4 linked regions of the Struthio camelus genome follow. The protein of the gene in region 2 interacts with the protein of the main gene of each other region in a pairwise test. Links are inferred from orthologs where the notes say so. Each region holds a gene or a part of one and is shown on either strand. Other genes may lie near its edges.

The links.
Region 1: the proteins of CEP70 (region 2) and HSPD1 interact in binary tests that used the Homo sapiens proteins (3 or more experiments, as listed by UniProt). The two-hybrid records come from large-scale screens. The link is inferred for Struthio camelus from reciprocal best matches to the Homo sapiens genes CEP70 and HSPD1.
Region 3: the proteins of CEP70 (region 2) and SMARCE1 interact in binary tests that used the Homo sapiens proteins (3 or more experiments, as listed by UniProt). The two-hybrid records come from large-scale screens. The link is inferred for Struthio camelus from reciprocal best matches to the Homo sapiens genes CEP70 and SMARCE1.
Region 4: the proteins of CEP70 (region 2) and KAT5 interact in binary tests that used the Homo sapiens proteins (3 or more experiments, as listed by UniProt). The link is inferred for Struthio camelus from reciprocal best matches to the Homo sapiens genes CEP70 and KAT5.

The regions. Positions count from the first base shown.
Region 1 is NC_090947.1:11,797,299-11,804,161, forward strand, and holds the start of HSPD1 (60 kDa heat shock protein, mitochondrial), read left to right. Parts: upstream 1-3,857; 5' UTR 3,858-4,088; intron 4,089-5,125; 5' UTR 5,126-5,127; coding exon 5,128-5,301; intron 5,302-6,863. Other genes in the region: HSPE1 (10 kDa heat shock protein, mitochondrial), read right to left, coding at 1-58, 1,480-1,644, 3,459-3,461. UniProt on the Homo sapiens protein: Chaperonin implicated in mitochondrial protein import and macromolecular assembly. Together with Hsp10, facilitates the correct folding of imported proteins.
Region 2 is NC_090947.1:35,546,537-35,554,290, forward strand, and holds the start of CEP70 (centrosomal protein of 70 kDa), read left to right. Parts: upstream 1-4,746; 5' UTR 4,747-5,128; coding exon 5,129-5,137; intron 5,138-5,698; coding exon 5,699-5,798; intron 5,799-5,959; coding exon 5,960-6,083; intron 6,084-6,419; coding exon 6,420-6,600; intron 6,601-6,926; coding exon 6,927-7,096; intron 7,097-7,754. Other genes in the region: FAIM (fas apoptotic inhibitory molecule 1), read right to left, coding at 914-1,142, 1,512-1,647, 2,314-2,357.
Region 3 is NC_090966.1:7,066,624-7,074,067, reverse strand, and holds the start of SMARCE1 (SWI/SNF-related matrix-associated actin-dependent regulator of chromatin subfamily E member 1), read left to right. Parts: upstream 1-4,437; 5' UTR 4,438-4,830; intron 4,831-5,826; 5' UTR 5,827-5,870; coding exon 5,871-5,877; intron 5,878-6,468; coding exon 6,469-6,512; intron 6,513-7,444. UniProt on the Homo sapiens protein: Involved in transcriptional activation and repression of select genes by chromatin remodeling (alteration of DNA-nucleosome topology).
Region 4 is NC_090976.1:906,231-914,010, forward strand, and holds the start of KAT5 (histone acetyltransferase KAT5), read left to right. Parts: upstream 1-4,763; 5' UTR 4,764-4,771; coding exon 4,772-4,912; intron 4,913-5,011; coding exon 5,012-5,078; intron 5,079-5,843; coding exon 5,844-5,912; intron 5,913-6,138; coding exon 6,139-6,275; intron 6,276-7,630; coding exon 7,631-7,780. Other genes in the region: RELA (transcription factor p65), read right to left, coding at 1,213-1,361, 1,895-2,043, 3,069-3,113, 3,598-3,607. UniProt on the Homo sapiens protein: Catalytic subunit of the NuA4 histone acetyltransferase complex, a multiprotein complex involved in transcriptional activation of select genes principally by acetylation of nucleosomal histones H2A and H4.

The sequences.
Region 1 (6,863 bases), about 24 Mb from region 2:
ATTCTGGCAGCAAGACCTTTTCACCAACTTTTACACTTACTGGCTGAATCTCACCATTCTGAAAGAAAAGAAGAAAAACTTTTTTTTTTTAAAAAACAGGTAAACAGGTTGATTTAATGGCAAGAATTCCTTCAAACCATAGTGATCCTCCCCCACATAAAACACTCAAGCAATCACAGTAACTACATTTTAGTTACGCAGTGAAAACTAGAATGCGCAAGTTACCTAGGAATAAAAGCACCCCAGTCAATTCTCAAGCATCAGAACCCTGCAATATTTCAACAGCAGAACTGCAGTGGATTTTCCTGAATGCAAAGTACTTCCGTTAGTTTGAGTGTAAACGCAAACTGAACTCTTCACTTGGCATTTTGAGGATGACTTCGCTTTAAGAAGTCTGAAAAGTTAAGTGACAGACCATGAAATCCCCCTCTAAAGCAATCAGGAAAGTCCATTTCCCTATTCTGTGACCAAGGCTAATTTCTTGAAGTGACAGTTAAGAGCGCCTTCTCATCTTTGTTACTTTGATTAACTTGTCAGTATTGCTGGCAGATCTATTAAACTCTACCACAGATTTCCAAGCATAAGTCTATACTTATGTTTTCGTATTATAAATTATTAGCTAGTTAGTCAATTATTAGCACCATTTCACAATATAAAGCTTTGAGATATCATGCTTTTTGTCTCAGTATCTATGGAAGGACTCAAGGTAAAGAAAGAGTCTGAGTCAACATGCACAAGTTAAATTTTAAACACATTTCGCACTATTACTACTAAATGGATACTTTCTTTGGTGGGGAAAAAAACTTGAAACGTTGAAGCCCACAGGCCGATTAAGACTATGAAACGAAGTCAAGACTGTCACTATCCTTTTTATGATCCTAGACCTGTTTTTTTAACACGTAAAATTCAAGAAAACTGACCTAACAGTTATTTTTGATTCCCAATTTTCTTTTTGTCCAGTAAGCCTAACTGATGCTTACGGGCAACGATATTTTGCACCGCGTTAAGACACAGAATACCACATTCTGGGATTCCACCCTGCTCACAAATTACAGGAATTCAGGCATGCGATCAGCAGCAGTTGAAGAAATAAAGCTGCCAATCCCATACGTTTCACCTGAAAGGTGATCAGACAAGGCATCCCAGAAAATCATAGTTTAAGTATTCAAAACTGAAAAAGCCTCCCACTGTTTAATGCTGCTTGTAAATATCAATAAATAACATTCATTTTTGAAAAGCCATTATTTCCCATTTTAGAAGCAAGAGGAAGGCTGGAATTCAAGGTCAGAGCCAATGAGGAAAGGGTGGACACTTGAGTGAAGTTTGAAGTGCAGACTCAAGAGAGGCGGTAGGAATCTCATCATCCTCATTTGTTGTCATGAAGTGTAACCAAATTTATACAGCAACCGATCCCTTTATGTTAAGCTTCCAGCTACCACCACACCATTACCAACTCTACCCAAAGTTGGATCCATTTACCTTTCCTTTGGCTCCCGATCCAACTGCCACTACTGTTGCTTGTAGCACTTTCCCTTGAGCTTTTTCTGGAATCATGATGCCTCCTTTGGTTACAGTCTCAGCTGCACATCGTTCAACCAGAACACGATCAAAGAGGGGAAGAAATTTCCTAAATGCCTTTCCTGCCTGTGAAAGGAATTGTATATTGTAACAGGAAGATCACTACAAAAAAAAAATGGCAATAAAAAAGTTCAAACCCTCACAGTGGTTTATCTTCCAAGAGAAGTCAAGAATTTAAGAAAGATGCTGGGTAGTTGTTCTTAATAGTGGCAAGTATATGCAACCTTTAATGGCAGCAAAAAAAAAAAAGTTAAAGAAACAAGCAAAGTTGAACCGCAGGTGTTCTGTATCTCAAGCCTAGAAACAATTCTCTCTTGAGCAGAATTAACAGGCACACCCTGGGCAGTCCTAAGATTTCAGCCATACAAAGATGTACTCCAGCTAACATCATAAATCACCACCAGATGGAGCTGCCTTCTCATTTGGCTGGAAAATTCCATCAGCTTTTAAGCTGCTCGATTCTAAACCGTTAGTGCTCCTGTAATTTAGTTAGCATCACTATTGATGAGTATATGAAATGTATTTATTGAGTCACAACCAGATTTAATGAAGGACCTCTCGGGCTAGTTTTCTGGGGGCATTTTTATCGGCTGTACTGGAACGTTTAATAGTAAAAAAGCAAAATCTAGCATGTACTGTGTGTATTTTTCAGGTATTTTCAAAGCTTAGCATTTCATATAACAATTTACAGCTTCTAAAGTTTGAAGTCTGAAGTGAGAGTGTAGTTTTTTTCTACTGAGTTCTACAAATAGACTACAACTTTGCAAAAAAGTGAAGGTTTTTGTAAACCCCCAAGAATAAGCAGCTAGGCACATTTGTGTGTTGGCTGCTTTTCCTTCATGTAGGAAACTAGTCAACAGCTACCTCTGCTTAAGAGTTAACTTTTTTGCTACTACCTACTGCTGCTACTGGCTGCATTTCAGCAACAGTAGCTGCATTCTCACAGACTAAATGCAAGTGCAGAGTCAGGGATAAGGAACATGCTTTGATGAAGAGCAAAGGTCTGGAGACTTGCCAAGTCACGTGGAGATAGCGCTCCACTAGACAGGTATCCAGAGCCCACTCAGAGAAGGTTCTAGCATCCAAGGTCCCTTCCCCGAGACCCATCGTTATACACTCTCATGCTTTAAAAAAAATCAGGAATGCCTCAAAAGTTACAGGCAGGACAAACACAAAGCCCAGTAAACAAAAGATGCTGTCCCCATTTCCCCCCTCCCCCCAAAAAAACTTGCTACTACTACAACGTGGAAGAAAAAAAAACCCGCACAAATGGAAAAGGCTGCCAGTTATGAAAACAACAGCTCTGAGCTTCATTTATTTTTCAAGTGACCTGTGCTTAAGGGAAATAAGCAATTAGACTTATGAACACGGATATTTTACACCGAATTAGAAAATGCGAACACAGGAAAAAAATTCCAGCTCCACGGTAAGGGCGCCCCTGCCCCTGCCCCGCTGCTCTTCGCGGCGAGCTCCACCCGCACAAGCTCGCCAAGCACAGGCGCTGAACCCCCAAGCGCCTTTCTGGCTTCTGTGCCACCAGGCTCGGGGGCCAGGCCGCCGCGCCGCACCCCGCCCGCCCGCCCGCCCGCGGGGCTCCCGAGCGGCCCGTCTCGCCCCAAGGGCGCGCTGCCCTTGCCGCGCTCCCAACGGGCTCCCAAAACGGCCCCGCGCCCGCCGAGCCGAGCCGCCGCGCCGCGCACCCCCCCCGCCGCCGCCGCCGCCGCCGGCCCGGGGAGGCGCCCGCAGCAGTGGCGGGCGCTGCAGGGCCCCCGGGCGGCGCAGAGCCGCGGCCCCCCGCCCGCTGCTAGGCAGCGGCGGCAGCAGCACAGGCCCCTCGCAGCCCCCGCGGCGGGCGGGCGGCCGGGCGGGCACTCACTCACCATGGCGGCCGCCGCGCTCCCCGCCACCGAGTGACCCGGGCCTGCGCCGCGCACACGTGAAAAAGGTCACCACCTGCGCATGCGCGCGGCAACCCTCCCCCCCACCCCGCGCGGCCCGCCCCGAGGCGGAGCCCTTCCGCCCCCCCGAGCCGCGATTCCGCCGTTTATTTTTCCCCGCCGGGCCCGCGGCCCCCGCGCAGGGCGGCCGCCGCTGCAACGGCACCGCGCCCCGCGCCGCACGGGGCCCGCCGGGCCCCGGGGCCCCGCGCCGGCCCGGAAGTGAGGTCACGTCACCTTTGACCCGCGGCGAGCATGAGCGTTCCAGAAGGTTCTGGAACTGGCGGGCCCCGGAACCTGAGTGGCTCATGCCGGGCCGCCAGGGCGCATGCGCGGAGGGCGGGCGGCGCCGCAGCGCTGCGGCCGTGCGCCCGCGCCAGGGGCGGGGCCGCGGCGGCTATGCTGGTTCCCGGGCTGGGCCGCGCGGAGCCCCACATGGGTGGCTGCCTGGCCGGGGGAGGGGCCGAGCTAGTGAGTGCTGAGCGCCTTCCCGGGCTCGCGCGCAGATCTGCCCGCTCCGCTTCGAGTCCGGACGGCGGAGCCGCCTGCCGCTCTCCCCCGCCTTGCACAGAGGTGAGCGTGTGGGGCTGCCCCTGCTCGGGGCCCGGCCGGGCTCGGCCTGGCGCGGAGCGGCCTTGCCCGGGGACGGGGGGGATGCCAGTGGGTCGGGTGCGCAGCCCCCTCGCCCCTTGCCCTCTGCCTTTTGGGCGTTGCGGCGGTTGCGGCCGTTAGGGGCGCGCGCCGCCTGCAACGGCTCTCGCGATTCGAACGCGGGGCGCTGCGGCCGCCTTCAGAGCGGCGCGCGCTGCGGACGGGGGCCGCGCGCCTGCGCCCAGCGCGTGCGCGCGCCCAGCCCGGGGCCCTGCGGCGGCTCGTGCGCTTCCCCCCGCGGCGGCGGGGGGGGGGGGCGGGGGGAGGGGCGCTCCGCGCCCGTGCTCGTGCTCGGCCGGGGGTCGCGGCGGACCAGGCGGCCCCGCGGCGCTGCAGCGCGGCCCGCCCGGCGGCAGGGGGCGAGCGGCTGTTGACCTTGCTGCGCGTGTCCTGATGGAAGGAGACACGTGGCCGGCGGCCCTCTCCTGCCCGCCGCGGCCGCGCCCGGCTGCTTCTCCTCCTCTCGCCCCGGAGCAAGGGCTGCCCGTGGGAGGCAGGGTCGGGCGCTGGGGCCTCGCCGGGCCGCGCCGTCAGGGCGCTACCCTGAAGCGCCCCGCTCGCCCGGGTGCGCGCGGCCGCCCCCGTTTGCCGGTGAAGTGGTGCTGCCTGAGGGGATGGATCCGTCTGGCAAACGGAACGGCTTGTGTGCTACAGCGCCCTGGCCATCTCCCGCCCGACAGCCGGGAGAAGCGAGGCGGGAGGAGCTCAGAGGTGCTGGAGGCTGCTCCATGAGGAGCTGCTGGAGCTGAGGTCTCCTCTTGAGGAGCTGGGCGCCCGAGCTCTCTTACCCTCAGGTAATTGTATGTCTGCGTTCGAAACAATCGGAAAATGAAAGGTCATGGTCACTTGCTTTACTACCTCAATTTTGGGAGGTTTTTTTTTCCCCTTTTTATTCTAAAAGTCGCCGTGCAAAGGACACGGTATTCATATCTTTCTGTGGTGGTGTTTTAATCTTTTAGACATGCTTCGTTTATCTACACTACTCCGTCGGACAAGGCCAGTGTCCAGAGCACTGGCCCCCCATCTAACGCGAGCATATGCAAAAGATGTTAAGTTTGGAGCAGATGCCCGAGCTCTTATGCTTCAAGGAGTAGATCTTCTAGCAGATGCTGTAGCTGTCACCATGGGGCCAAAGGTAATGGAAGGTTTTGCATTTGTACTATGTTAACGCTTTGATGTGGACGAAAATATAACAGTGGAAAACAGTTGTCACTTTTCCTAGATAGAGTTGCATGTTTTCCATCTCCATATCTGCAAGACAAGGATAGGAGAAGGAGTGTGGACAGACCACTGCAAGCAGCCATATTCTCATCTTGTCAGCTGAGCCATGATAATAGTGGACGTGTCCTTCATAGTCGTGAAGGAAAGTACGTTTGACTCCTATGAAAAGTGCAGCATAGTTGCTTAAACAGTATAAAGCAAAACAGAATAAGAGCGCGTGCGCAGTTGATTACTATAGCTGAGTTGGTAGCCTATGACAGTACCCTTGATAATTTGACTGCTTATAATTTTCTTTGCATCCTGAGGTAGTTTAGCTAATATGTGATTTTTTTTTCTTTTGAAAGAAATTATTTTCTGTTATCGTCGCATCGTGTAGTAGTATTAACAAGGTGAGAGAAACATTAAAAGCATAACAGCAAGTTTTTCATTGCAGGTAAATGTTACCAGTTTTTAAAAGGTATTGAAACATCCATGTCAGTGGCATTAATTTGTACCATGTATAGAAAAGATTTGTAGTGTATGATCCCCCTTTCAAGTTCAGGTTTTTGGAAAAGTAGCTGCTGTGTTCTGCATAGTCATACAACATGCCGTAGGTCTTGAAATGAAACTGCTCTGAAAGGAGGAGATGCAGATTTTCTTCAGGCTCTCAGGAATATCTGTTTCAAGTTAGCTCTCAGTAAGGATTTCTTAGGGATTTCTGACTTGTCATGAGGTAGCATTGATCAGGTGTTAGTGGTGTATGTGGAACAATGGTGAAAGTGGTTGCAAACTGCAGTTCTTCAGTTACTTCGCCTTACTGAGTAGCTACAGTGAATTATTTTAGCTCCCTGGTAGGAGTAAATTATATAGTTACAGTTTTGCCTCACTTTTAAAGTGAACACGTTCTGTCATTCACTGCTTGTGAATGTTTTTAATACAGGCAGTTTGCTTGTTTTTTAGTTTTTACTAAAGTTACTTAGTTTTTTTTTTTTTACTTAGTTGTTAAGTACAACTTTCACGTGGAAAGACCTTTTTATTGTTATTATTATACACAGTAGTTAATAAAATCCACGTTCAAAGTAGATAGGTCAAAGCATATCCTAACAGTATATGCATGGTAGTTCTTCTCAAGGCTGCTTGGCCCCTGTGAGATTACTTAACTTTTTACTTACACATTTCTGCACCTTTTTTTAGCTTTATTCAAAGGCAAAAATGCAATGAACTGAGCAGGTGAAGATAAAGGAACAGTGAACTCAGCAAGCTGTGGCTGTTTTCCCTAGGTACAGTTCTCCTAAAAGGAACACGTTTTCAGTGGCTCAGTTGATGAAACTGTTGTTTTGCATCAGCTGACGTTACAACTGTTTAAGGGTGGTTTTAATGCACTGGTTAAAGGACAGTTTCTGATGCAACCTATTGTAACCTTGTGGGTTTTTATATTCCAGTGCTTTCACTTTGATTTATGTGTTATTCTCCATATGTTCATAGAGCAGTTAGGGT
Region 2 (7,754 bases):
AACTTTTGCTATAAACATACATTTTTACCTCTCCCTAGCTCTGGCTGTTAACAGTGGATTGCTCTGAATGCTGTCAGAGATGTTCTGGCATCCTCAAACTGAAGAACTTGAGGATAGAAAAATGAAGTAGTCTGTGCCAATTATTTAAGGAGTGTTTATTCAATCAAATCCCAATTTTAACTTCTTTGAGGTATGTTTAAGTAAAGAGCAGCTTTACTTAATATCCACAAAGTTTCAGAGTTCTTAAGATCTCCTTGAAAACTCAAGTTCCATCCATACCATAATATGAAGAATCTTAAAATTGTACTGTTTCAAACAGTATTATTTTATTTTTCCCAGTACAACCTTCTTAAGTTCATTAGCTCTAGAATTCACATTACTGACACTGCCCTCCACTGGCAATGATTAGAGAGCTGAACCCTGCTCGCCTTTTAATTAAATACAAGGAGACTAAAACTGTGAGGAAAACCAAGCAGGCTGCAGGCTCTGTCATATATTAAGATTGCCCCCCCCCAGTCTTATTTGATCTTAGGATATTCATTCTGTCCTTACGTTTAATAAAGGAGAAAAAAAAAAAAAAAAACATAGTCCCTGATCTCATCTCTGGCTCTAACCTTGCAGCAACACCCAAGAAGCTTCCCCTACTAGATGCAATGGACACAAATTTCCCAGTAGCTTCCTTCTGCCCATCTGCTTGTAGTATTTTTGGGAAAGGGGGACGAAAGAGGAAAGATGTAACCAGACCCTTATTTTTTCAGATCGTTGTCTTTAGCATCTAATTAAGTGTTTCCAGACTACCCAGGATTTTGCACTGCAACAGTGCTAGCCTGAACTATACCTTCTCTTATCTGCCAGTTATTAAATGCACACAAGTTTATTCAAAGGCAACAACATGAAGTCAATATTTACTTACCTAGAACAACTCTATACTCCATGCCATCCAAACTCAGTACCCAAGTATTAGTTGTTTTTGACCTGTTCTCCATATACTTCTTGAGGCTTTTCCCATTGATATCCAACGTATATTCATACGCAAAGCCACTGACTGCATCAATGTTAATAGTAGCTTTTGTTTTAGCTGCTCCAACAGTAAACGTTTCTTTACCCACCAATTTAAACATCCATTCTTTTCTTATTTCTTCCTGTAGGAAAAAAAGCCAAAGACAATGGGTATTAATTAATAAACCTGAATATGTCTCAGGATTGAGACATTTTGAACTAGAACTTGGGCAACAGCCCAGTACTTAACTATTATTTCAGTATGTACGAATTCATAATATTTTGCATGTACAGAGTGCCTCTGCCCAAGGACTGCAAAGCACTTCATGAAGACTCACACCTTAATTGTAACTGAGAAGAGAATTATGTAGTCTATTAGATTACGTAAAGTTAGTCAACCAAATACATCTCACTTGCATTTATTAGTCTTTTGTTTGTTCTGATGCATTCTGCATGGAAGCACACTTACACAGTCTGTATCATAGTGAATTTTGAGCATATAGTAATTTCACCTTTCCATCAACATAGACAACACGTTTTCCTGACGTGGTCCCATGTTCAAATTCAATCTTATGAACACCATCACTTAAAGCTACTTCCCAAACGGCCACCAGATCTGTCATCTTCTCTAAATGGCTGTACCGGGACCTACAGAAACACCAACAAAGTACATTAATTGTGGTTGAGAGAGTTCAAATATTGCTGAATGTAGTTGAAAGCTTTACTACTTTATAGCAAGTCACCTTTTACCAATGAAAAAGTGAGATCTGAAAGAATAAATGTAACCAATTTTTTTATTTTCTTAAAAAAAACCAAACATTCAAATATGATAAAACTTGTCACAAAAAATAAGCACAAAGACAGGTAAACAGGTTCACTTTGACTAATACCATACAAGAACATACATCCATCTAACCTCTAAAACTTCCAAGGCAGATGACAACAAAGTTAAAAAACTACACTTACATTCCAGATGCTTATGGACAGTTCTGTGATTTCTTGGCAGTCACTAATACAGTACGCTAACTGGTCTGTTAAAGTGTTTTAGCCTTTTAAACTTGCAAACTAGTTAGGGTGACCAGTTTAGCTATTAAAAAATTTGTCTGTAACCTTTTTCATAAATATTACCTACATCATTCAGAAATGCAACTGTGCATGCACATACATATTACCCCTCCCTCCTTCCAATGGGGGGAAGAGATGTTGAGATATCCTTTCTTTAAGTGGTTTTTAAAACTCAGGTAAACTCTTAAGTGACTGCTGAAATTGTGGATATCTTTTCAAACCTGTTCATGCTGCAGTTCTGTTTTTTACCTTAGTTCATCTTCACCGACAGTAATCTCCTCACAGGATGCCATAGTAATCAAAACAGCTCTTAATCCAATTAGCAGCAAGAAAAAAAGAAAAGCTGAATAGCAATAGAGAAGCATTGAGAACTAGATTTTCCTAGTTTTCTCCATTTAAGATTATAGATCTTTTTAAAAAAGTGTGATGAACTATCATGTATTATTCATATATGTGATTTTTTTCCTCTTAGACAAAAAGGCAAATACAAGTTTATTTGGAAGTATTACTTTACAAAATTAGTATGGGCGATTTTTCCTAACTTTATTAGCACAGCCTAGCTTTGTCATGTATTTGATGAAAAGTACTTTGCCCGATTTACGAGAGAAAGTTTTGAAACGGACCTGACCAAAACAGGAACCAAATCCAGAACTTCACAGCTCAGTCACCAACTGTAACACACCGGAGACCATTGCCACTAGAGGCAAAATGAAATAGTGCCCGAGAAGAGGATATCAAATACTGCTTGGGAGAGCAGACAGGATGCAGGAGTCCTTATGGTCCACAGTCAGTGCAATATTCAAATCCTGAGTGAAGTGGAAGCCTTGTTCTTGTCTCAGACCTCTAAACATAAGCACCAGAGCCAGACTCAACAATTTCGACTTAATAGCTTTGCTAAACCACTGTAGCAGTTTTCAATAGTCATGGTAGCAATTTGACCTGGCAATTCAACCATAAAAATCTGTATTTACCAGAAATAAACAATGCAAGCACCATCAAAAAGCCTTCTAAGTAAGAAGTAGTGATTTATGTGTTCCTACAACACTGCTAACCTGTTTTTAATCCTTATCCTTTTCATTAAACACAATAGTTTGTGTAGGATCTATTTTCATTAAAAGCTGTCTTTTAAACTGTACTGTTAATCACATAAGCTGTAACAGACCTCCCAGTTGTCAGAGAATCATTTAAGCCGGTGGAACATAAAAGCATAAGAATACTGTACTCTATTTTTCTTCCAACACATGGCCTATTGCTCTAATCCAAAGTAGCTACCAATAGGTATAATTTCATTCAATGCAAATAACTCATTTTTGGTAAATAAATGGTACTTTTCCTTGAAAAAATGAATTAAAGTCAAGTCATGAGTTCTAGGATCTCTCTTGAGCATAATAGTTAATGCATTTAACATTAGGCCTCCTTCAGTGTAACTTGTTTCTGCTCTAAAGCAAGCTCAATAGCATTGCTATATTACTGTTTATTATCTTTTTCCTCAGCAACCCTACAAATTTCTGCTCGTGAACTGCAAAGTAAGTTCCAAAGACTGTGAGTTCATTTTTAAGAATATAAGGATTTAATTCTCCCATTTGTGAGTTGTGTATGTCAACTAATAATGACAACAAGGGGGTCTTTTTGTTGCTTTTGAAGTTTACAGTTTGGTTTCCATAAAGATTCTTATCCTCTGGAGCATCAGGGAAGTTGGGAAACGGTTATTATTTCTGCACCTCCTTTCTAAGGATTAAAAAAAGAGAAAGAGACTCTTACTGGCTCAGGACAGACTTACGCCGCCTGCCTCGACCATCTTATCAACACAGCAGCGACCTCAAGTTACAAAAAGTGCCAAAGAGGTGGAACCGGAGCACGTTTCCAGCCTGCTCGCAGACCCTGCATCCCCTGCGGTGGCATGCAACCCGGCCCTATGAAGTTTAGCAGCTAATTTAGCATCAATATTGAAAAGGCTACAAAATAACGGAAACTACACAGTCTCCTCCCCCAATCACTTCGTAACACGCTTTTCGAATCAAATCTGGGCACAAAACCCAGTCTCTAGGTCAGCTTCACCCTATCTAGAGGATGGGCAATACCCATGGAGCATAAAGTGAGAGCAGCACGCAGGAGACGCTGACTGACTAAGAAAACCTCTACCGCAGAACCGGCCCGCAAAAAAAAAAAAAAAAAAAAAAAGGGAAAATAAGAAAAATTACTTACTGCCTTGAATCAGTCCCTGGGACTCCGGGCAAAGCAAACCCCCCCACCCTAGCTCTGGCCGCTGCCAGGCGGCACTTAGCGCTGTAGGGCCTTGGAGGCCGCTCCAGCAGCCGCCAGGCCGGGGAAACCGCTTCCCCCCCCGCCCCCCTTCCCGCCCCGCCGCTGCCGAGCGGTCTCCAAGGCGCCGCTCCCTCAGCCCGGCCGCGCCGCGGCCAAAACACCCCCCGCCGCCGCCTCCCAGCGTCGGGCAGCGAGGTGACCGCAACGCCTCCGCGGGCTGGACAGGAGAGCCCCGGCCCCGGCCCCGGCCGCCCCCATCCCCAGCGCTGTCTCCTACCTGCGCGGGGCTCCGGCCGCTGCAGCCCCCACCGGCGCCACCTCCGTCTCCCCCTCCCTTCGCAGCTCTCAGCGTCTCAAAATGGCGGCGCGGCGCGCGCCCCGGCCCCGCCCCCCGCCGGCGGCCGTTAGCCGCAGCCCGCCCCGAGCCGGCGCCGTGAGGCGGTAGTGGGCTGCCCGCGCCGCTCGGCCGCCTCCCGCTGGGTGCCTTCCTGCCGCGCTGCCGGCCCCGCGGCCCTCTCGGAGCCGTTGCGGCGGCGGGCCGGGCGGGGAGGGCGGCTGTGGGGGTCTGAAGCGCCAGTGCCGGCTGCTGGCGGCCTGAAGCGCCAGTGCCGGCTGCTGGCGGCGGCGCGGCCTCCGTGCGCCCCGCCGCGCCTCTCGGCGGTCCTCTTTCCCGAGGCCTGATGACTTTCCCTTTTTCTTTCTTTCTTTCTTTTTTCCCCCCTCCCGTGTTCATCCCTAGGCAGCTTCAGATCAGGGCCCGGGCTGCTCTTTCTGCATATTTGAACAGAAATCCCTCACAATGACGGAGGTACAGTAATGAACCTGAGCTGTTTGTTTGTCTGGTTGATTGATGCTACTTTGAGGTTAAATATATGTATGTACATATATTATACACGCACGCACACACCTACAGATAGGTATTTCTCTGAAGAACTCGCCACCCGCCAGCTGGCTGCACCGTGCTGGGGCCCTGGGGCGGGACGGGACGGGACGGGAGGGGAGCAGGCCCCGCCGCCTGGAGTACGCGTTAAAATATTAGTATGAGATGAGTGCCTTTCATTTTGTATATATTTATGTATTTTTTCCAGAAAGTATTTTTTTTCTTTTAATCGTTTGCAGATCATTTGCAAAGGCATTTAAAAATACTCACCGGGAAAACTGGATAATCTGTAAACTGTCCAGTGTGTTTTTCCTAATATTTTTGCAGATCATACTTGGAAAGTCTTTCAACCCTCCTGTAGCAAACCGTGGTTGTTTTTTGATATGGGGGCATTTGGTATCTTCTACCGTGTACACAGCTAGGAGAAATAGGAGACCGTAAGCTGATCTTCAGCATTCAGGTTGTTGTCTCTCCTTCTCCCAAACGCAGCAGGAGAAAGCAGAATGGGAAAACTTAAACAAAATTTTGATGCGCCATGGGTTGAAACCTGTGAGCTTTGCTGCCCCAGGAAACAGCAGAAGTATATCAGGTAAGGGCATGCTGTTTTTACAAGTTTCTGTATATGAAAATATAAGCCCAAGTTCATAAACCGTCTTTAAAGCTGTCTTTTGCAAGTGCCAGCAGAGATGTGGTCTTCTCCAGTTATCAAATGCCTTTCACTGTGACTTTGTTTATTTTGAATGTTTCCAGATATGATTGTCTTGGACAATCAGTCTTCTCTGGGGATAAGATGTGCATTACAAACACTGCTGGAAGACACGGACCGACAACAGAAAATGATGCATGGGCTTATGGAGGCTAATCACCAGCTCAGGTAAGACTCAGTGGTAGGAACTTGTTTCTAATGCAAGCCAAAAATATTGTCAGTGTCCGTTCTCTGCCAGGTGGAGCTGCTGCCACGCATGAGGCCCAAGACCTTTTTCCTGGGATTTTTGTGGAAAGTGGCAATGTTGGCCTGGTTTCTTCTGCATTTTTCTATCATTTCATCTGCTGCTTCTTCCCATAGCAAAATATTTCCCATACCTGCTCACATGGCCCATTATTGAGTGTTAACAGCTAAAATCTGTTAGGCCTGTGTCTCCTTCACTGTATTTAGTGAAGTTAATTTATTCTAAATCAAGGATTGTGGTTTTTTTTTTCTTTTTGTTAGAGATGAGGTACGTCAGGAACGAGGTCGAGCATCCCGGCAAGAACAACGGGCTAATGATTTGGAAAACGTGGTGAAGAACATAAAATCCAAAATTTGCCAGCTGGAAGATGAGACAATAGCTAAGGTTTGCCAGCAACAGAATCAGGTCAAAGAACTTCAAAAAGATCAGCAGATTTCACAGGTAATTCTGGTAAACCTGTTTGAGGACTCAAACTTTTGACTTTTATTTAAAAGCTTTAAAAATAGTGACACTGGTCAAAATAAATGCAAATCTTTTTGTCTTAAGAGTTACTACACTGTTTATAGCTAAGATTTTTCAAGCTCTATGGAAATTTTTTAATGATAGATTAGAAAAACATATGCATCCTTCTTCCACTGTCTCTTCAGCATGGCTAGAAAAAAACTACTCACCTTCCTTAGGAGCAAGTGCCTACTTGGGCATGTATGGCACTGTCTCCAGCTTGTTTGTCAGAATAATTTCGGAATGCTCCCGTTCCCTTTTCACAGGCAAAATACCAACAGCAACAGGAAAAGCTGCAAGAACAGGAAGAGACTATTGCCCGTTTGCAGAGGGAGCTGTACAAGGTTGGGATGGAGGAGCAGCAGCGTGTTGCCACTCAAAACAAAATGTTTTGCCAGTTTTGCAAAAGAGCTCCGAAGTCTCTTCTGGATCAGCAGTAAGCAATTTTCTTCCACTGTTATACTGATGTAACATTAAATGAAGAAGCACATTTTAAAATAATGGTTTTTGATATTTTGATTTTTTTAAAAACTGAGTTCCTTAGGAGTGCCAGTTGAAATATGAATCCTTGTGCCTTGTAAAGGCATGTGAGTTCAATGAACTTTTACTGTATATTAAAAGTGAGCTGCTTAAATCCTTGGAGAAAAGTGAAAATTACAGCCACTGTACACAAGGTGTCAGCAAAGAAAAGAGAATGATGCACTATTTAGTCTGGAACTCCAACGTCTACCAGGGTGATCTCATTCTGGGATTCTAGTATTGTTAAATGTGATCTTAAAGAAACAACAAAAATCTTTCAGTTGTGAAAAGTAGTATTTGCAGCTGCTAACTGCAGGCTTACTGTAAAGCTTTACAGTTACTTCTGTGAAGGTTTTGGAAGTACTCTATGTCTCTTATGATAAGGTCTCCATACTTCTACTATAAATCAGAGCTTTGCCAATTCTTAGGCCTCAAACGCCCCTCACTTGAGTGTGTTGGTGTGGCTGGGTCTGCCAGTTTTGGCTGGTAACACTAACCTGCAACAAATTTCAAAGGGACTGTGCAGCCTGACTGTTTCTTACTGTGCCCTCACTAAACAAGAAGAGGAATCACTG
Region 3 (7,444 bases), on a different chromosome or scaffold from region 2:
TTTTCTTTACGAGGTTATGAAACAAATTTCAAACAAAATTGTATTAAGATATGAACGACTGCTGATGACGATTTTTAAGAGGAACTGATGCCACAAACTAACTCAGTCTAAGTCACTGGGATTGCAGGGGCTCGGAATCTAGGAAAACCACATACAATATTTACTAGATCCATGGTAGCATGTAAAAATTTCTTTTAAGTGTCAGTAATTGCCTTACTACTTATGGCATGTGTAACAAAAACTGATACTGCAAATTTTTCCAGTACTGAGTTATGCTTCTATCTTTTGTTAATGGTACAAACAACGCATTTTATACTGCCCATGGTTCTGTATCTACTGTATAAAGCTGACTAAGTATCATTAACCTTAATATTGATCTGGTGTTGTTAATACTTGAGTATTTGGCATCCTGAATGTAATAGCCTGCCCTCGCATTTTCACTATGCAGCTTTTTTTTGTGCTTATACTGTGTACATTTTACTATACTTGAATTTGAACTAAGTTTTAATTGCTTTAAGGCACTTTAAACAGGGATATGAATTTACCAAAGTAAATGATAGCACTACAACAAAAAGTAATAAAACTGAGTTTGCCCATGCTTTTTTTGTGAGTTTGGCATATATGTCTCAAGAAGAAAGGAGTAATAGAAAAATAGAAAAACATACAATAAAAGCAGTTGATAAGCAAATCTGTAGCACTGCAGCTGAGTGTTTTTTAAAGCTCTTCTCTACAATTGGTAAGACCCATATTCCCTAAGAATCTTTATCACAACATGCATGCAGGGTGTGTATTCTTCTTGGACAACAACAATTATTCTTTTTTGCTAAAATCCAGTAGCCCTGACTACATCTCAAGTCCTTTGTTCTGAGCTCTGCACACAAAAAGAAGACAGACAGCATCTGGCATACACACTTTACCATCCAAAAGACAGCAGAGAAGCAGAAACAAATAGCAAGTACGTACATGCCTTTTACCACTGGGTGTTTGGCTTACTCTCTGAACCACAATACTTGTGCTTTTAGCTTATCTAGTGCAACTCTAGATTTTTCACTAATGCTGGAAGCCTTCCCCAGCATAGTACAGAACTCATATCTGACCCAACCCTGCAATGCAATGTACGCGCTATTTTGAAAGAGAAAAATTACTGTTTAGATCTAGAGTAATCAACTTGGCCCGGGAAACTGAGTACATAGAAAAAAGGTTGACTTTATTGATACACGTTATTTTGTCCGTATAAGGGCCTCACGGGTTCTGAAGCCATTTCCCCGACTTTAACAACCGTACAACTACATCATGAGCTGTCCCATGAACGAGAAATTTATTTTACCCACGTAAGTTCCCATTATATGCCACTGAACTCAATTACTCATAAAATACACAACTCCTGGTTGATGTTTGAAACAACTGGGTCAAACCCCGTTATAATGTTTTATATTTACAAAAAGTGCCACTGAGAATGCCATGCGGGCATAGGAAAAAGCAGTATGCACAGTAACATCTTGCCCTGATTTCAGGTCACTTTAAAGTTGAATTTAAAAATGCAATATTGAAGCCTAATACTATGGCAAAGAATTCTTCACTGCTAAGATGCTAATTAAATTTAGACAAGCTGGGCTATTACCATCTAACACCTGCAAACGTCTGCCGTAAAAATGAGTTTGATTGTCTCAACCTACTTGCCACTGAATATATGTCCTAATTACAAAGCTTAAGAAACTGTTGCTAACGGAAAAAACAGAAGTCTCAGAAGTCGGATAAGAGCCAACTATGTAGAGCCCGTCCCCCCAATTAAAGAGGATGTTATATAAATAATTTTATTACATCAGTAAAACTACTCATGTCATGCAGTACATTGCAAAGTATACTACAACCTCTGATGCCAGAAACTGTCCTCCTCAGCTAAGTGAAAGGCCATGGTATGACTACAGATGACTTGGATATCCAGGTCTACCAATCTAGTAACTGATTCATATGAATAGCAAAATGAAAAACATAAAACATAAAGCAAGCAATATATTGCTAATTTTGAAAATATATATAAATGATTCGGTTCTATGAGCATGGACAGTGATTATCAGGAAGCATACATGAAAACCATATGAAATATTTCAAGCTGCATAAATTTAGAATTGACCTCATCATTTTAAAATTTCTATGCACAGAACACAATTACACCTTTCTTGCCAAAACCATACCAAGTTCTGAATAGGAAGAATGAAAATGTCATGCTACATGCAATAAATGTATCTTTCAATGTAACTTCAAGGCATTCTCACTCAGCTGAACACCTAAGGAAAATAAAAGGCTTTTGAGTCTCAGCGACAGGTGCAGTCGTACAACAAACTCCAACCACTTCTTCAAACTCCTCTTTGTCTCGCTCCTCACATCTTAGTTTTCCTAATCATTTTTGTCTACTTGACTGAATATTTGATATCGCTAAAATTTAATATTTGAAATCACTGAATATTTGATATCACTGAAATTAAATTTGAAAGCAGTGTCTTGTTAGCAGACATCCGAAGGTTCCTGCTAAATTCAAAGCATTAGCTCTATTAACATTTGACCTGGGAAAATGAGAGTGGAATTTAACTAACTGTCAAAGAGGACTATAGATGTTAGCAAGAAAATACATAAACTAGAACGCTGCACAAAGTGTTGATGCAGAAAGAACGAACAGAATAGCCTTTCACGAAAAGTCCCCTTTGCCTAGCAAGTGCAAAGGTCAAAGACATGCTACTGGTCAGCGCTGACTTCGTTCTGGGCATATACAAGCGTACAGCGTATAGAAACAGACTCTTAATAACTACTTACTAGGAAACTGTCTTAGCATTTTATCAGCAAAATCAAGTTATTAATAAATTACAGAGGAATGCATGAAGCAGTCACAGCCAGGAATAAAACTAGGTTATTTTTAACAAGTATTTTCTCACCTGTTCTTCACAAACTTCTATCCACGTGAAACTGGTGGACTAAAAAGAGGCTGATCTAGCTGACTATCTGAGGAATCTTTGGATTCTTACATTCTTTTAATTACCAAATGGAAGTTGCAGATTATTCTATTGTTCTTCAGCAAATTTCCACCGTGGCCATAGATAGCATACTGTAAGCAGATGAGGGCAGAATCATTGTCTCTGTGTTCACAGAAATGTGCTTATTTAAGAACAAACTTGTTTAGATAAACAGTGCGCATCAAGAAACGGGCCTAACTTGCAGTAACACAGGATCCTATTCAGTTAGGTTTTTTTCAAAAAAACAAAGATGTTTCTGCGTACTGTCTTAGCAGGAACATCCACTGTTTGGCTTTCCTTCAGATGCCATATCGCCAGGCCCACCCAAATCTTCCTTCATAGGTGTCTAGAATTTTATCTTATTAGCCATATGACAGCATTTCATTTCCCAATTTTATATTTTTATTTTGAACTCAGTCACTTTAACAATTTTCACTGTGCAAAACCATCATATGTGGAACACTGAGGTCTGAAACTGCTCTGCTCCTCAGACATTCAGAGCTGCAAGGTGTATTGTGTTCTGTATTTGCAGGCTTTTTACCTGCATATATGATACCTTTGCATATTCATGCAGTAAATCGTTCCGGATTACTTCAGAGCTCCCTAGTTCACAGTCTTCTATGACTCAGCTGCTAAGTACTTGAGCTGGTCAGCCCGATATAGTCCAAAATTAAAGTTTGCACAGATTTATAATTATTTCCCATAGGCCACATGTTTAGTCTTCGCTATGCTCATCATCATGCGGTTCTTGCAGGCCGACCTGTTTCCTCTAGACCTTCTTTTGCCTACGCCCTTCCATCGACCCAGAAAAATCTTGTTTTTCCCTCACAGCACCTTAAGCAAGAGCAAACTTTGGGCTAAATTCCGTTGCCGCTCAGCTTCTCTTCAAAGCCATGCCCCTCCCGGACCGTGGCTGCAGGACGGTCCGGCCCACTCTAGACACACGGCTCCTCGGCGCTGCCGGGACAGGTCACCTACGCTCCTTATCCCGCTCCTGAGAGACATCGAGGCCCCGAGGCTGTAGCGCAGCAGCGCCTCTTCCAGCCGCTCCCCCTCCCCCTCCCCTCACGGCCGTTTGCGCTGCGCCCGGCTCTTCCCGCTCGTCTCCTGTCCCGTCGCCGCCGCCCCGCGCGGAGGGACTCGGCCCGGCCCGGCCCGGCGGCCGCGCTCCCCCTCTGAGGCGACGCGAGCCGAAAAGGCGCCAAATGGCCGCCGGGCGCGTGGCGGGCGCGAGGCGCCAACGGCCTCACCTCCCCCGCGCCTGCCTGGACGTTCTCAGCCGCAGATTCGCCACGCGGAGACAACGCGGCAACCCGGCCGCCCGCCCCTTCCGCTCGCCCGCCGCGGACCTGCTAACAGCGACCCGAGCGGCGGCGGGCGCTACCGAGCCCCAGCGGAAGGGCGGGAAGAAGGCTACGCTGGGTGTGGAAAGTGCGGAAGGGAACGCGAGGCAGGCGGGCAGCCCCGCCGGCTGAGAAACCACCCCGCTGGGGGAATGGCGGGGCGGGGCGGGATGGAGCCGCGCCTGCGCGCAGAGCCCGGCGCTGCCTTTACCCTCTGTGTGCCGCAGATTCGCCACAATCCGCTCCGGCTTCCCTTCCTCCCGGCGGGTTGCGGGCGTGCGGGGAGGGTCTGTGCCCGGCGGTGACACCGGAGGGGAGACGGGCAGCGCAGCGGCCTCTCCGGTAAAGCCCGAGCAGCAGCCGCCGCCGAGGGCGGGGCGGAGGCTCTGCGTGTGGAAAGTGCCGAGGCGCAGGCGCGGCCCGCGCGGCCTCCCCCAGCCCTGTGGGGAACAAAGGGAGCGCGGCCGGGGCCGGAGCCGGTGAGTCGGGGCGGCGGGGCCCGGCCCGGAGCTCGCCCGGCCCGGCCTCCTCCAGCGCGGGCTCGCGGCGGGGGCAGGCCGAGGGGGTCGCCGAGGCCTGGGGAGCCGCGGGCGGGAGGGGCTGGGAGGCGGCAGGCCCGGCCCGGCCGCCTCTCGCCACCGGGCGTTGGGGGGCCCTGTCCTGGCTGCGCTGCCTCCGGGGAGGCGCCGGGGGTCCCGCCCGGCGGCGGGGGGGGGGGGTCGAGCGGTGCCTCTCGGGCCGGCTGCGGGTCTCCCGGGAGCGGGCACGGCCCCGTTTGGAGGCAGCGGGAACGCTGGGCCGGCTTCAGAGACCGGCTGCTCCGTGGTGCACGCAGGGGCCTTTCTGCCCCGTTGAACTTCGTGAGCGTTTCGGTGCGAAAAACGAGGAAAGGTCAAAGCGAAGACCGCTGTGCCGTCACGTAGTGCCAAAACGGGCCTAACTTCTATTGAAATCTTGATGGACTTCTTCTAAGAGGAAGGCTGAAAGAACACTGCTTTATTGCTGTGTGTTTCCCTGACACGCTTACGAGCTTGATGCTGAATGAGATTAAATCTCTCACATCCCATAGCCGATGCTATGAAGAACCCTATAGCTTCTATCATGTTTGGTGATTACTTTTTCCTGTTCCGTAATGGAAATATTTAGTGAGGTCGCTCATACATTAAGACCAGGTTTCTGAAGCAGGCTGTGTAAAATAGTGATACGTATCCTTTTTATTGCTTAGGAAAAAAGTTATACTTAAAATCTGTATCATGGAGATCACATAAACCTGAATCACAGCTGTTTAAGGCCAAACTCCTTGGAAAGCACATTCATGTTGCAATAATATATCACCTATAGTTTTCAGAAACTTTGTTTTGTTTTTGTTCCAAAATTTGCAAATCTTCTTTAGTAATTAATGGTAATTATAATTGAAATTTCAAAGAGTTGGGAAAGCTTAACATTTAATAGCATAATATTCTTTTGTTTTTCAGAATTACAAATATAATGTCAGGTGGCTGAAAATTTGCCTATCAAAATGTCAAGTAAGTTTTCAGATTTTTCTTCCTTTAATTTGGTGAATTAAAGATCTGAATCAGCAAGAACCAAACTGTGAGATAATTCTGTCATTCCTTGTGTGAAAAGGAATGATTCTGACCAAACTCTTGGCCTTAAATCTTGCTTGTGGCTGATTTCTGGCATCTCAGGTGTGATTGGACCTTAGCCTGTTCCTGCTTATTTCTAAAGCATACTATAACATATCAAAGACTACTTTTTGAGTACAACTCTCTGTTTCCATAGACAATCCAGATATCAGTTTCTCCTAAATGATGTTTCACTACACTTTTGCTTACCCTCTTTTTAACTGATCTTCATTTAAATATGTTTTATAGTCTTTAATCTTATGTCTAAATAAAAGGCTAGCAATCTGGCAATGGCGTGGGATTTTTTTTCTCCTCTCTCTCCTATCCTTTGTTTTACAATCTTCAATGACATAGTGGAAAGTAAGTCTTTGAGGCCAGGATCTCTGTCTGTCTTCTGTAAATCTTTGAAGTGTTTGGGACTCTGGATGCCTTATAAAGAATTCATTCGCATTTTCAAGAAAAAACTTTCTGCTTGCATTTATCTTTCAACAGAAAGGCCATCTTACGCCCCACCTCCTACCCCAGCTCCCGCAACCGTAAGTATAGTGATTTTTCTCATTAACACAGATCTGGTGATATGGCCTTTAATAACTTACCACAGCCCTGGGTCGGAAATCATATTCACAGCTTGTGTTGCAAAAATATACTGGAATATTTAAGAACAGACTGATATACACTTAATTCTAAAATTTCATGCCCAAAGCATGGGCAAAGCACTATGTGTTTTGGTGTTTCTGTGGTACCTACCTAGCTGACTTTCAGTGGAATGCAGGGGCATGCAAATCTTTGTTATATTGGCTCAGAATAACAAAACGTTCATGATGACAGTCTTATTCAAACTTCTTGAAATCCTTGGTATTTTTGGTCTGTTGCATGAAAAATATTTTACTGTACAGTCTGGAATGACACTTACAGAAACATGAGAGGTGATTTTGAATCATGTCCAGTTGTGTACATTTAAAAAAAAAAAAAAAAGGTACTGAAATACCAATGTCCTGAGGTCAGAAAAGCACCTGAAAGCAAATGAATCTTATGTAGCATTTGCATTTCTATAATAGCTTGCCTTTGAGGATTAATGCATTGACATGAGAAAGTACTAATCTTGTGCAAAAGAGAAAGTAAGGATGCTAGTGAAATTACTGACCAAAGAAAATTTGAAAACTGTTATCCAGTGTTTTTCGTCTGTGCCTCTGGGATGAAAAGTGCAGGATGGGATCTAGATGAAATGTAAAGTCTGGCGCAATGAATTTAAAGGATCACATTTAAAAAGGCTTGGAAATGCTATATTGTATAAACATAGATTGTTCTTAAAAACTTATGAAAATAAAATATTTTACTGCTTTTGGCATAGTTTGTTCAGAGTTTTCATTTTGCACACAGCTTTATAGATTGTGCGAATATTACAAAAACTATGATGGTATCTGCTCTTATAACTGGATTCCTGCATTGAGAACCAGGCATGCACATA
Region 4 (7,780 bases), on a different chromosome or scaffold from region 2:
TACCCAAGAAGGGACCCAGGCGTCCAGGCTACCCAAGAGGGGCCCAGGCATCCGGTCCCGAACTTAACGCGCGCCCCAAACCCTGAAGGGCCCAGGCGTCCGGGCTACCCGAGAAGGGACCCAGGCATCCGGGCTGCCCAAGAAAGGGCCCAGGCGTCCGGGCTACCCGAGAAGGGACCCAGGTGTCCGGGCTGCCCAAGAGGGACCCAGGCGTCCAGTCCCTAACTTAACGCGCACCCCAAACCCTGAAGGGCCCAGGCGTCCGGGCTACCCGAGAAGGGACCCAGGCGTCCAGGCTACCCAAGAGGGACCCAGGCGTCCGGTCCCGAACTTAACGCGCGCCCCAAACCCTGAAGGGCCCAGGCGTCCGGGCTACCCGAGAAGGGACCCAGGTGTCCGGGCTGCCCAAGAGGGGCCCAAGTGTCCGGTCCCTGATTTAACGTGCGCCCCAGTCCCAAAGGGCCCAGGCGTCCGGGCTACCCAAGAAGGGGCCCAGGCGTCCGGTCCCTGACTTAACGTGCGCCCCAGTCCCAAAGGGCCCAGGCGTCCGGGCTACCCGAGAAGGGGCCCAGGCATCCAGGCTACCCGAGAAGGGGCCCAGGCGTCCAGGCTACCCGAGAAGGGGCCCAGGCGTCCAGGCTACCCGAGAAGGGCCCAGGCATCCGGTCCCTAACTTAACACGCGCCCCAAACCCTGAAGGGCCCAGGTGTCCGGGCTACCTGAGAAGGGGCCCAGGCGTCCGGTCCCTGACTTAACATGCGCCCCAGTCCCAAAGGGCCCAGGTGTCCGGGCTACCCGAGAAGGGCCCAGGTATCCGGTCCCCGACTTAACATGTGCCCCAACCCTGAAGGGCCCAGGCGTCCGGGCTGCCCAAGAAAGGGCCCAGGCATCCGGGCTACCCGAGAAGGGGCCCAGGCATCCAGGCTACCCAAGAGAGGCCCAGGCGTCCGGTCCCTAACTTAACGCGCGCCCCAAACCCTGAAGGGCCCAGGCATCCGGGTTACCCGAGAAGGGACCCAGGCGCCCGGGCTACCCGAGAAGGGGCCCAGGCGTCCGGGCAACCCGCGCGACGTCACTCTCGAGCACCAACTCGGCCTCGGAGCGGCCGCCGCGTCCCGTTCTCCGTCCCTCTCCCCCGAAGGGCCCAGGCATCCGAGCTCGCAAAGGGGCCCAGGCGTCCGGCTCGCAAAGGGGCCCAGGCGTCCGGCTCACCTGTGCACGTTGCGCTCGGGCGCCAGCTCGGCCTCGTAGTAGCCGTCGCGGCAGTCCTTGCCCACCAGCTCGTGGGGGTGCGGCCGGTGCGGCGCCTCCTTCGTCACCAGCGACACCCGCACTCGCCCCGGGCCCCGGTAGTTGTTGATCTGCGCCAAGGGCCCAGGCGTCCGGGGAGGGGCCCAGGCGTCCGGGAACCCCCCTCTGCCCCCGTGTTCCCAACCCGGGCGTTAGAACCGCTAAGAGGGACCCAGGCGTCCGGGCAGAGCCCAACCTCCGCGCTCAGCTACGGTGGGTGGGAAGGGGGGCCCAGGAGTCCGGGGAGGGGCCCAGGTGTCCGGAAAGGGGCCCAGGCGTCCGGGTGGCACTCAGGTGTACAGGGGGGCTCAGCTGTCCGGCGGGGCCCAGGTGTCCGGGGAGGGACCCAAGTGTCCAGGGGAGTCTAAGCCCCCAGCCCCAACCGCTGGGGGGCTACTGGGAGACCCTGGAGGAGCTACTGGGAGCATACTGGTGCGCACTGGTCTGTACTGGGGGCTCACCCGGATGGTGGGGTGGGTCTTGGTGGTGTCGCTGCTGTGCTCGCCGGGGCTGGGGGCCCAGGGGGGGCGCGGGGAGGGCGCTGGAGGGTTACTGGTGCGCACTGGTCTATACTGGTGCGCACTGGTCTATACTGGGGGCTCACCCGGATGGTGGGGTGGGTCTTGGTGGTGTCGCTGCTGTGCTCGCCGGGGATGCTGCCGGCCGAGCGGCCCTCGCACTTGTAGCGGAAGCGCATCCCCCGCTGCTTGGGCTGCTCGATGATCTCCACGAAGGGGGCGCCCCCCCCCGGCTCTGCAACGGGGCCCAGGCGTCCGGGAGAGCCCCCCCCCCCGCCCCCCCGGCTCTGCAACGGGGCCCAGGCGTCCGGGAGAGCCCCCCCACCCCCACCCCCCCCGCCCCCCCCCGGCTCTGCAACGGGGCCCAGGCGTCCGGGAGAGCCCCCCCCACCCCCACCCCCCCCGCCCCCCCGGCTCTGCAACGGGGCCCAGGCGTCCGGGAGAGCCCCCCCACCCCCACCCCCCCCGCCCCCCCCCGGCTCTGCAACGGGGCCCAGGCGTCCGGGAGAGCCCCCCCACCCCCACCCCCCCCGCCCCCCCCCGGCTCTGCAACGGGGCCCAGGCGTCCGGGAGAGCCCCCCCCACCCCCACCCCCCCGGCTCTGCAACGGGGCCCAGGCGTCCGGGAGAGCCCCCCCGCCCCCACCCCCCCCGGCTCTGCAACGGGGCCCAGGCGTCCGGGAGAGCCCCCCCCCACCCCCCCCGGCTCTGCAACGGGGCCCAGGCGTCCGGGAGAGCCCCCCCCCCACCAAGCGATCCAGGTGGCCGTGTGACCCCCCCCCCAAAAAAAGGGACCCAGGTGTTTGAGTGACCCCCCCCAAAGGGGCCCAGGCGCCCGGGTGACCCCCCCCCAAAAGGGGCCCCGGTGTCCAGGTGACCCCCCCCCAAAAGGGGCCCAGGCGTGCAGATGACCCCCCCCCAAAAGGGGCCCAGGCATCCGGGTGACCCCTCCCCCAAAGGGGCCCAGGTGTCCGAGTGACCCCAACACCCCCCCCAAAAGGGGCACCGGTGTCCAGGTGACCCCCCCAAAGGGGCCCAGGCGTCCGGGTGACCCCCCCCCCCAAAAGGGGCCCAGGTGTCCGGGTGACCCTCCCCAAAAGGGGCCCAGGTGTCCGGGTGACCCCCCCCCCCAAAGGGGCCCAGGCGTCCGGGTGACCCCCCCCCAAGGGGGCCCAGGCATCCGGGTAACCCCCCCCCAAAAGGGGCCCAGGTGTCCGAGTGACCCCCCCCCCCGACCCCGGACGCCTGGGCCCCCACTCACCCTGCAGGCCCCAGTCCTGCTGCAGGAGGAAGGGCAGCAGATCGGCTGCGGGGGGGAGGGGGGGGAGGGAGAGACGAGCGGGGGTGTCAGCGGGGGAGGGGAGCCCGGCCCGGACGCCGGGGCCCCCTCCCGCCCCCCCCCCAACCAGCTGCCGCGCCATGGGGGGGAAGGGAGGGAAGGAAAGCGGAGACGAAACCGGCTGCGCCTCTCTTCGAGGCTCTACGGCCGCGCCGCGCCGCTATTAGGCGCAGTGCGGGAAGGCCGCCGCCGCCGCCGCTACCGTAACGCACCGAAGGGGCGCGCACGCCGCGGCGTCACGTGACGGGGGGACCCCCCCCCCACCCCCACCGCGCGCGTTAACCCTGAAACCTACTGACGCCGCCGCCAGCGGGGGGAGAGTAGGGGGGATCCCCTGACGTCACCGCGGCTTGACGTCACCGGCGAGGCGGGGGGGGGGAACCACCGATTTCGGGGAGCCTCGACCCGCCCCCCCCCCCCCGGCGGAAGGGGGTGGGGGAGGGGCACTCACCGTTCTCCATCTTGGCCGGGCGGAGGGGTGGGGGGAGGGGTAGGGGGGTGGGGGGGGTCCCCGGTGCCGGTGGGGGCGGGGCGAGAGGGGGGTGGGCGGGGCCGCCGCGCCCGGGCGCGACCGTCCGGTCCCGCCGCCGCCGCCGCCGCCGCTTCGGGCCCCGCCGCTACCGCGTCGCCATTCGCGGAAGTGGCCCCGCCGCCCCACGTGACCCCCCGCTGCCGGGAAGGCCCCGCCCCCGGCCCCGCCCCCGGCCCGCTCCGCGTTCTGGCCCCGCCCCGTCCGGCCCCGCCCCTTCCGCCCCCTCCGCGCTCCGGCCCCGCCCCCATGCAAATGAGGGGGCGGGGCCGAGCGGCAGGGGCCGGCGGGCAGTTGCGGCCGGCGGAGGGAGGCGAAAAGAGGCGCAAAACCAGGCGGGGGGGGGGAACCCATAATGGGGGGGGGGGAACCCAAAAGGAGGGGGAACGGATGTGGGGGAACCGAAAACGGGGGGACCTATGGGGGGGACCCATAACGGGGGGGGGGACCCATAACGGGGGGGGACACATAACGGGGGACACATAACGGGGGGACCCATAACGGGGGGACCCATAACGGGGGGGGACCCATAACGGGGGGACCCATAATGGGGGGACACATAACGGGGGGACACATAACGGGGGGACACATAACGGGGGGGACCCATAACGGGGGGACCCATAATGGGGGGACCCATAACGGGGGGACACATAATGGGGGGGGACCCATAACGGGGGGACCCATAACGGCGTGGGACACATAACGGGGGGGGACCCATAACGGGGGGACCCATAATGGGGGGACCCATAACGGGGGGGGACCCATAACGGGGGGACCCATAACGGGGGGACACATAACGGGGGGACCCATAACGGGGGGACCCACAACGGGGGGGGACCCATAACGGGGGGACCCATAACGGCGTGGGACACATAACGGGGGGGACTCATAATGGGGGGGCCCATAACGGGGGGGACCCATTACGGGGGGACACATAACGGGGGGACCCATAATGGGGGGACACATAATGGGGGGACACATAATGGGGGGACCCATAACGGGGGGGGACCCATAGTGCGACCATAGAGTCTAGCGGGAGGACCGCGGGAAGGAGCGCCCGGCGAGCGAGCCCCACCCCCGGTCTCCCGCCGCGCGCATGCGCAGGCGCGGGGCGGGCGGCGAGCAAGCCGGAAGTGACGTCGGGGCGGGCAAGCGAGCGGAAGGCGGAAGCGCTGGGGCGGCGACCCGGAAGCGGTGCGCGGCGGGCCCCGGTTTGCGGCCGAGGATGGCGGAGGTGGTGAGCGGCGGCGGCGCGGGGCGGGGCGGGGCGGGGGCGGCGGAGGGGGGGGCGGCGGGACCCCGGGACCCCCCCGCCGTGACGCCGCGCCGCCCGCAGGGGGAGGTGTCCGAGGGCTGCCGCCTGCCCGTGCTGCGCCGCAACCAGGACAACGAGGATGAGTGGCGTGAGCGGGGGCGGGGCCGCCGCGCGAGGGGGCGGGGCCGCCGCGGGAGCGGGGCGCGGAAGGGCGGGGCCGGGCCGGGAGGGGAGTGGGCGGGGCCAGGCGGGGCACTGACGGGGCCGGGAGTGGGCGGGGCCGGGAGGGGAGTGGGCGGGGCCAGGCGGGGCAATCGCGGGGGCGTGGCCAGGAGGAAGGGTGGGAGGGGCCACCGCGCGGGGCGGGGGGACGACACGGAGGCCCAGCGGGGCGGAGGGGGCGTGGCCAGGAGGAGGAGTGGGCGGGGCTGCTGCGGGGCGGGGTGGGGCCAGGAGGAGGGGGCGGGGCCGGGCGGGGGAGCTGTCCCCCCTCCCCCGGGGTTCCCTATTTGGGGGGGGCAAGGGGATTTGGGGGGGGGCTCAGGGGGATTGGAGGGTCCCTGGGGGGGTTTTGGGGGCGTTTGGGGGATTTTGGGGACAGCGGGGGGGGGGACTTGAGACTGGGAGATATTTGGGGTCCCCCAGGGACGTTTTGGGGGGGGGGAAGGGAAATTTGGGAGAGGGGGTCTTGTGGGGGGGGTAATTGGGTAGGGGGGTGGCAATATCGGGGCGGGGGGAGCAACCTGCGTTGGCCTGAAGCGCTATTTCGGAGGGGGGAAAGGCAACCTTTGGGGTGGGGGGATTCGAGGGTGCCCCAATGAGGGGGTCACGGCCCGGGGGGCCCGGGGGAGGTGGGGGGGGGGAGGCGACCCCCTCTCCCCCCCTGCCGCCCCCTCCCCGCCGCCCCCCCCAGCGCTGGCCGAGATCCTGAGCGTGAAGGACATCAGCGGGCGCAAGCTCTTCTACGTCCACTACATCGACTGTGAGTTTTGGGGTGGGGGGGTGAACGCGGTGACACTGGGGGGGGACGGGGCCACCGAGGAGGGGACGGGGCCACCGCGGCGGGGACGGGGCCACCGAGGAGGGGACGGGGCCACCAAGAGGCCACGGGGCCCCCGAGAGCCTCGGGGCGAGAGCCGGGGCGACCGCAAGCCGGGCGGGCGGGCGTCCCGCCGCCGCGTCACCGCGTCCCCTCCCGCCGTCCCCAGTCAACAAGCGCCTGGACGAATGGGTCACCCACGACCGCCTGGACCTCAAGAAGATCCAGTTCCCCAAGAAGGAAGCCAAGACGCCCACCAAGAACGGCCTGCCCGGTTCCCGGCCCGGCTCGCCGGAGCGCGACGTGGTGAGGGGACGGGCGCCGCCGCTGGGGACGGCCCCGCCGCCGCTGGGGGTGGGGGGGGGACGCCCCCAGGTTGGGGGGGGTGGGCGGGTTCACTAGAGCTGTCGGGGACGTCCGACGGAGCCGGGAGAAGACACCTCGAGCCCCGGGGACGTTCTCGAAGTTGACTCGGGGACGAGTTCAGGGGCGCGTTTGGGGTCGGGGGACAGCGAGGACGTTCAGGGCACGTTCGGGGGACAGGAAGGCCACCTTGAGTGTCGGAAACGTCTGCGGGTCTAGAGAGGCCACGTAGATGAGTTGGGGACATCTAGAAGCTTTGGGGACACCTGCAGTCAGGGCCGTTTGTGGTCCTAGCGGGGACGCAGAGAGTTTAGGGACGCACGGAGCCCCGGGGACGTTTTTGCACCCGACGGTGACACCAGGAACCGTTGGGGACGCTTGGAGCTCCGCGGACGTCCCTTGCTCCTCGGTTGGGGGGACACCTAAAGCTGTTGGAGCTACTGGGAGCCGTTGGGGACGCTGGGAAGCGTAGGGGACGCAGGGCAGTCGCTGAGGACGGGGGAGCCAACAGGGACGTTGGGAGCCGCTGGGGACGTTGGGAGCCACTGGGGATGTTGGGAGTTGCTGGGGACGTTGGGAGTCGCTGGGGACGTTGGGAGCCACTGGGGACGTTGGGGGCCACTGGGGATGTTGGGAGCCAGTGGGGTCATTGGGAGCCACTGGGGACGTTAGGGGCCACTGGGGATGTTGGGAGCCAGTGGGGTCATTGGGAGCCACTGGGGACACCAGAGCTGTTGGGGACGCGGGAGCTGCTGCTTCCGGGGGAGCTACTGGGGACACTGGGAGCTGGTGGGAACACGGGAGCCAGTGGGCCTAGGCGAAGCGTTGGGGCCACCGGGAGCCATCGGGGGCCACCAGGAACCATCGGGGGCCACCGGGAGCCATCGGGGGCCACCAGGAACCATCGGGGGCCACTGGGAGCCATCAGGGGCCACCGGGAGCTGCTGGGGGCCACCAGGAACCATCGGGGCCATTGGAGGCACCGGGAAGCGTCGGGAACGCGGGAGCTCTCGGGGGACCGGGGAACCGCTGGGGCCACCGGGAGCCGCTGGGAGCCACCGGGAGCCGTGGGGGGACGCGGGGAGCATCGGGGACGAGGGACCGCCGGGGAGCCGGGACGCTTCGCTTTGCCGCGCCGGGAGGGCGGGAGGGGAAGCGGGTGGGAGGCTGCCGGCCGGCCCCGTTCCCCCGTCCCCCGCCCCCCGACCCCACGGCCCGGGCGGGTGCCAGCACCCACAGGGAGGGTGGAGGGTCCCTCACCGCCCCCCTTTCTGCTCCTCTTCCTCGCGCCGGCGCAGAGGAAGAGCCTGGACGCGGCGGCGCCGGCGGCTCCGGCCAGCGGCAAGAGCCTCCCGGTGCCGGTGCAGATCACGCTGCGCTTTAACCTGCCCAAGGAGAGGGAGCCCGGCCCCGGCCCCGGCGAGGCCGAACCGCCCCCGGCCCCCGGC